Bombyx mori: one gene and its partner. The protein of the gene in region 1 interacts with the protein of each later gene in a pairwise test. Links are inferred from orthologs where the notes say so. Each region holds a gene or a part of one and is shown on either strand. Other genes may lie near its edges.

The links.
Region 2: the proteins of CCR4-NOT transcription complex subunit 1 (region 1) and CCR4-NOT transcription complex subunit 11 interact in binary tests that used the Homo sapiens proteins (3 or more experiments, as listed by UniProt). The link is inferred for Bombyx mori from reciprocal best matches to the Homo sapiens genes CNOT1 and CNOT11.

Annotation. Positions count from the first base shown.
Region 1 is NC_085107.1:17,975,694-17,979,628, reverse strand, and holds the start of CCR4-NOT transcription complex subunit 1, read left to right. Parts: upstream 1-1,220; 5' UTR 1,221-1,778; coding exon 1,779-1,880; intron 1,881-1,987; exon of another isoform or gene 1,988-2,128; intron 2,129-2,793; exon of another isoform or gene 2,794-2,904; intron 2,905-3,935.
Region 2 is NC_085125.1:1,935,541-1,939,375, reverse strand, and holds part of CCR4-NOT transcription complex subunit 11, read left to right. Parts: intron 1-1,462; coding exon 1,463-1,628; intron 1,629-2,135; coding exon 2,136-2,264; 3' UTR 2,265-3,835. UniProt on the Homo sapiens protein: Component of the CCR4-NOT complex which is one of the major cellular mRNA deadenylases and is linked to various cellular processes including bulk mRNA degradation, miRNA-mediated repression, translational repression during translational initiation and general transcription regulation.

The DNA of each region.
Region 1 (3,935 bases):
AGTCGAACTGACTAAAACCTCCTGTCGCTCAACAACCCGCGTCCGAACCTCGCATGAGACAGAACCCATGAAAAGGCAAAGGGGGGAAAGTGAAGCGTTTAGTGCGGAGCACATCTCTCCCATCACCCTCCCCCTCGGGACGCCGGACCAGCGGTCGTCGGCGCCACGACCACCAGCCCTCTCGGTCGGCAGGCTATCCGGAGCCCGTCTAGATGGCGCCGGTTTGAATGGGTTATCCTACGGAATACCCCGCTGGGTCAGAACCAGCGTGGGTCGAGGATAACCGGCCTTCCATCACCCGGATGCTTTTGCGTAAAACGCGTGCAGAGCAGCTTGCACGTCGTCTTCTTAGGCCCCCTTCGCCGGTCCCCAGACCGACATATGAAGGGGACCCGAAACATTTAGAGGGCCAGGGCTTGGGCGAGATCCGCCTCCCTGGCCCCCGCTCGACGGCGGCGGGCTTGCGCGTCTCTCACGCGCCCCGCCGCCTCCTTCTGCGAGATGGTGCACTCGCAGAAGTCGAGCATCGCCTTCCACGACTCGTCGTCGCCGAGCATCGATGCCAATACACTCGGCAACGACAAATTGTTTCCTATTTTTGCGACGACAGCACGGTGCACACCCCTCCCATGCGGGGCAGGCGACGAGGGCAGCACTAAAACCGCCTTGTTTAGCGGCCAGATGACGTCACAGTGGCACGCATTTTTTGTTGACGTTTCATTTCCATAGGTTTCATACTTCAGTGATCTAGGTGGAGCAGGGTCATGTCATTGTTTTTAAAATAGAGTCAGATCATTTTGTTAAGTGGCCTCTCTCGGTGACAATAATAATATGACAATGCAACTGGGGAAATTGATGCTATGTGTCATACTAAGCGTATGGCGTAATGTTAATATTAATGAGCAAATAGTTTGCGGTGAATTACGTCCCGATCTAGTAGATTCTGATTCTGGTCCAGCGGACTGTCTTAGAGTATTAGCAGTACCGTCTCAATGGCATAGCCTATCGCTGACTGCACTAGTCGAAGTTGAGTAATTATTGCGGATGAAGTCACCGTCGTATTTATAACACATAAACAAAAAGCAAACAAACTTAATCATCACATGAATGTTTGCCCGATGTGCGTGTCGGACTCATGACCTATTAAAGAAATTAGCTTCTCTATTAGCGAGTTAGTCAATTCAAAGTGATACAACGAAATTCATTTTTAGGTAACGTTTCAATGGTTAACGTCAAACTGTGTACTCGTATATGCTAAGGAATACATACGAATTATAACTTCTCTAGTTATCTGGTTTTAACTAAGCTATTAATTGGTAATTTTGGATCTATAGCTCTACACAGAAATTTAAAAAATGCGTTGCATAGAGTCTGTCGGTAAAAAATATTTTATTCCTAGCAACTCTAGATGAGAGTGTTTGCTCTACCTATTGCGAGACGTCCAATCTCTATCTAGTCGGTGCTCTATGGTAACTCTCTGGGCTGCGGACGTTCACGAAAATTTTCCGAACATGGCACGAAGCAGCAGGCAGCCACTTTGGTTCTTTCGTCATCGTGTGCTGATTACTACTGAAATTTAATTTATAAATTGCTGAGTGGGGTGATAATAATTATGTTGTTTTTATCAAAGTGAACAATAAAATTGGTGATGTTGGGCTTAGGTTTATTATCATTTCGTCAGAAAACTACCAAAGAACACAAGTTCGTCGTAGAAAATCATAAAAAATCGAGAAAGCTTCAAACGTGTTTGAAGCTTTCGTTTTTGCATTAATGGAACTATGAACCTGGACTCTTTAACGTTGAGCTTATCGCATATACATTATCTCGTCGTAAATTTAAACAAGAAAAATTTCAAGCAGACGAGTCAAGAATTGAATCAGGTAAGAAAACTACCATATTTTATCATTCTTTGTTTTCTGTTGTCGCCATATTGTGAATATTGGCAGCCACGAACTCTTCGCCTGTATGTGTGTGTAGCGTCGGGTTGTTCTATTTGGATATGTTATCGATCGTTATCGCTTTAATAAGTGCTCTGCGTTAGTTTCTTGTGGACACTTTTGATTTACATTGAAGCGTTTGCCTGGTGGCGCATCTCCGCGGAATGATGTCCGGAAATCTATAGTCATAGGTGGCACCCATTTCATTTCCTTCAGCATTTCATTTGTTAAACGTCAATAATCTGCTGTACATATTACGTTTATGATTCATTATTAATTTATCTTAAGAATATTTGAAAAAAAAGCTAACCAAATAAAGTTGAATGTTTATTCTTTTTTTAAAGTATGACAATTTTATTATTCATATAAGTAATAATATGTAATATAATAAATAAGTTAATTAATTATAACAAAGGTTAGAAAAAAGAAAAAAATTTGAAGGTCATTAATAATGTGTTGTGCTATCTGTGCTAATGATTCAATACAACTTCTTTAAAAAATCAGTTGCTAAATTTGTATTATCATACTACTTAGAATATAATAGTTATTAAAAATGACGCAAGATTATTTCAACATGAAAAACACGTTAGAAATTACCCCACATCTAGTCTTTATCAATGGTTGTTTCAACAAACTAGCCTAGCAATAAGTAAAATGATAATAATTAAACTAGTAGTAAATTGCGTGAAGCATGTTTTTGACATGTTGCTATTGCAACATTGCCTGAGTGATTTTCATTCCGTTTGGTTGCTCTGTTTTACTTCCGTGTGTAAAGATTCTAGGAAACATGTGTTGGACACTGTTCAGTAAAATAAAGTAGCAAAATACAGTTTTGACAGCAAAGGAAAATAACTGCTAGTATATAAATTGTATTGTGGGTAGACATGTGTTTTTTAACTGTCCTTAATACTGAACAAAGAAGACAGCAAACACTAAGGAAATCAATTTAATATTTACACCACTTTAAGTAAGCAATTACTATTTATTTTATTTCCCATTAAAAATACTGAGTGTTTGTTAGATTCTTGAAATCGTAATATTATTTATTATGTTGATTAGCAGATACCTACATACATATCTACTACTAAAATATGAACTCTGTCATAAGAAGACTTAGTATCTGCAGTAATAGATTTGCCTCTGATATTCTGTTAAATACCAACATTTATTTTGTAAAATATATGTTTGTACCTCATGTCTAATAACAAAATGGTAAACAAGTAAATTATTTAATAAAAAAAACAAAACCACTGCATTTAAAATATTAACTGAAATGCAAAAAAAAAAAACATGTAATGTTATTAATTAGGTTTTAGGTATTATGATATTACAGGTAAGGGACAAACCAGTTGTTCAATTGGTGGTGTTTGAATGGAAACAAATAAATTGTATTTCTTTGCCTGTCCTCAGGCAGGTATTTGAACTTTGAAAACTGCTATATAGAACAAGGACTCTCATAAATGTTATAAATGTGGATATATATGCTTATTCCTGTATGACCATGTCTTTATGTTGAACAAAAATTATCAAGATAGATAAGCTATTTAAATATTAAAGTGAACAATCAGGTCAGGTCAGGTAACTTATTTACTTTTATGAAAAATTTGTTACTTTAATTTGCTTGGTTACCTACTACATTTTACTGATTTTAATAACAATATAGTACTCAAATATGACAAATAATCCAGTACTAATAAAAAATAAATAAGTAGTACTCCATTATCACTACATAGTATAAAACAAAGTCGCTTTCTCTGTCCCTATATCCCTATGTACCTATGCTTAAATCTTTAAAACTACGCAACGAATTTTGATGCGGTTTTTCTTAGTAAATAGAGTGATTGAAGAGGGAGGTTTATATGTATAATAATATCCATTAAATAGTGGACAAATCAATAGTAAATTACAGTTTCTGAAGCGTAGCGAGGGCGGGTCGCTAGTATAGTATATGTAAAGCTGTCTTTTTTGTCACCTGGCTTTCAAAATGAACTTTCCTCC
Region 2 (3,835 bases), on another chromosome or scaffold:
AATCTGAATCTCGGAAATGGCTCCAACGATTTTTATAAAATTTAGCATGCAGGGCAGGATTTCGACGTAAATGCGCCACCCACTTTGAGATATGAGTTTTAAGGTCTTAGTATAGTCACAACGGATGCCCCACCCTTCAAACCGAAACGCATTACTGCTTCACGGTAGAAATAGGCGGGGCGGTGGTACCTACACGCGCGGACTCACACGAGGTCGTACCACCAGTAATGGTGTCTTATTTTTATAATCAATAATAGAATACAGTTGCCTAAGCGAAGCAAGGGCGGGTCGCTAGTCTAGAATATAAGACTGCCCCCCGTGTCCTAGATGCTGCTGACACATGACTGGCATCTTCTATCATGAAATAATAATATGTAGTGGAAGTCTTTTTTGCATTTTTTTTTATTGCTTAGATGGGTGGACGAGCTCACCAGGTGGGGTGTTAAGTAGCCACTGGAGCCCATAGACATCTATAACGTAAATGCGCCACCCACCTTGAGATATAAGTTCTAAGGTCTCAAGTATAGTTACAACAACAGTTATCATTCGGACACGTTATCATAAATAATTATGAATTCTGCAAATTCTAAAACAATGCTCTTTCAATGTTACATACAGAAATAGTTGAAACCTTGCAAATTTTGTTATAGCAGTTAAAATAAAACAAAAAATATATGGCCTGTGACGTAACCACTATTGCAGTACTAGAGAGTCATAGAGATAGATAGATGGCTTAGTATATTTGTAATATTATAGCCAGGTCATTTCAAAAGTAATTTTGATAATTGCCTTCATAAAATGAATCTTTTTTTTTAAATATTTCCACTTATGGGTGCAATCAACCATTGCGAATATTTTTATTGGAGGAAACGGTGGTAAAATATAGCATATTGTCAAACATAACAGAAATTGTCCCTAAATAACATAAACGTTTTTTTTGTTTTTTTTTTTCAATCATTGGATAGGCATAGAGATCATAGACCATACAACCAACTGTACAAACATAGGCTGAGGCTATGTCAGATTATGGAAAAGAAATGGAATTGAATGAGGTGAGATAATACAACATGGTGGATGACGAAGGTGATAAAATGAAACAATTGTTCAAAACAATGGTGGGAATTTACTGAGAGTTCAATGGACTTTTTGAAAGAACCTGAGAATCCATTTCCAACGATTTGGACAGTTAAATTAAAAAAATAAGAATGCGAATGGCAGGCAGTGACTTGGCTCTGCCCCTGGCATTGCTGACATCCACGAGTGACGGTGACAACTTACCATCAGGTGGACCGGATGCTCGTCTGACTACAAAGACAATAAAAAGAGAATATATTGTATGTAAACATGTATATGCTTTTAATTTGTGTTAACTTTGAATTAGCAAAATGGATTAAACAATAGGTTAAAATCAATCTAGGCAAGTGACAAAAAATGTTTCAGTAAAATAATGTTTTTTTTTAAGGTTAACGACCTCAGTGGATTTGCCGGTGGAGTTCGTTCACCTCTACATAAGCAATTGTATTTCGACGTGTGAGACAATACGGGACAGATACATGCAAAACAGGCTCGTACGATTGGTGTGTGTCTTCCTGCAGTCGCTGATAAGGAACAAGATCATCAATGTGAAGGTATTTACTTGGTTATTTAATTTTTATGTTTTGTTGTAAGACTGAGATCTGATGTTAATAAAATTTTTACACTGTGGTGTTAGCCTAAAATAGTACCAGCCCATCTGTCCCTGCAAGGGGTAATTAAAAGGCGACTAAGAGATTTACTAATGGGTAGCATGTTCTCTATATATTGTAATAGCACATAATAAATGTAAGTGATGCAGAAGTATCTTTGTTAGATATTTTATGTTCAAGATCACAGAACTCCTTGTCTTGTCTTGATGAACTCGGGAGAAAGTAATAATCTGAGGTATAACTCTATAACATGCTTACACTCTAGTGTAATCACTTTAAAAAAAGGTGCAAAGAAAATTCATATTGTTATTGTATACCTCATAAAAAAGTATATTATTATACTAGTGTTAAGAATTCTTGTACGTGCTTGTATTTTAAGAGGCTAACCTAAATATTACTACCTAAATATTACTAATATTATTATTATATGATTTTTCAAATGTTTTCCAGGAGCTATTCATAGAAGTGGAAGCGTTCTGCGTTGAGTTCAGCCGGATCCGAGAGGCCGCTGCGCTGTTTCGGCTCCTGAAGCAGCTGGACTCCGGCGAGGCTGCCCACAAGGACCCCAAGGATAACTAGCGACGGCACAAGAGCAGGGTTTACTCGAACACGAATAGGTAGCGCCGGCCTCACGTCTGGGACCCCAGCCAATCGGAGAGCTAACAGCTGACCGCACCGCTGTGACATTGAAACTATAACAGTTCCACCGGTGATTACAATTGTGATGTGGCGTGTTAAACGTTCAATAGTTTTGTGGATTAATTGTGTAATAAGCAATTGGAAACTTGTACACTCTAAGACCTATTTTCTAAATTTGTGAAACTCGTGATATCTCGGGTATAAGACATTAGCCGGCAGCTGTGACAGCTAGTTTTGAACCTAACAACTATTATAGCATCAACGAAATAATGTCCACTCTCACACAAAAAGGTAATGCAGGCTCTATCAGGACCTACGTCTGTGAACATAACCGATACAATGTTTAGTGCGTATAAAGTTATGGTAAATATCGAGTGTCTGTGAAAATTGTGATAGTAATAATAATAAAGTATTGATTGAAATAATCAGATTAGAATACATACATTATCCAGATATGCCGGATAGAACATTTGGAGTGCAGTATTTGAGATATTTAATTTTATAAAGTATTGATTGTGTACTGATCTATGTAAATGGAAATAAATGGAATTGAATACATTTAAATTGATGTGAAATAAACATTGTTTTGCCTTCGTCAGTTAATACTGGGAATATTGTGTAGTTTTAGATTTTGTTACGTTATTTAGTGATGTGTTCATACTATCTTGTTAAGTGTCTCAGACAGCATCGGTTTTGTGTAACATTCTGTGTCTATTGTAAAAGGCGACTATGTGATTCACTAGAGAACGGGCAGTAGTTTGCAGAGTTAAGTCATGAATCATTTGAATGTATTACGTACTGAAGAGCGCATCGATCATTGTACAATTGACATACGGACCTCTTGTCTCAAGGTCGGTGGAGGCATTCAATTTAACGCCCATGTTACAAAAACTTATTCGCCGTTTCGCATTAAAAGTGTACAATATTCAAAAATATTCGAAATTTAGTTAATATGCGTAAACATTTGGTATCACCATTATTTTTCTCGTAAATACTGTCAAAAGAGCGTAGTTTAGTTAAATGTTTTTTTTTTAGTTTACCTATGTTTTGACTACTATTAACATAATTAATATGCACATAATTTTATCTTACTTTAAAATACAGATAATGTAACTGATAAAAAAAATTGTTGCAAATATGATTAATATTAAATATTAAATTAATAATAATATTATGAAAAATATTAAACCTTTAAAACACTCTCCTGTAAAATTAGTAAGTTTTGAGATATACAGTTTTAATGCGAGAAGACGATATTTGTATTATTTTGTTATATTCTCTGCTATACGCATTGACTCGCCGCACTGAATTACAGCAATGTTTACCTACGTTTGCCGCTAGTGGCGCTGTTCCTACTGCATGCAAATGTGAGTTAACTTTTACGCTGTCGAGAACGTTAAGAAACTCGCACTAAGCATATGTTAGCAGGGTGATGCAAGTTTAGTACAAATAACTATGTTTGTAGCAAATAATCCAAAATAAAAGTTCTAGAATCTAGATAGTATATTTAT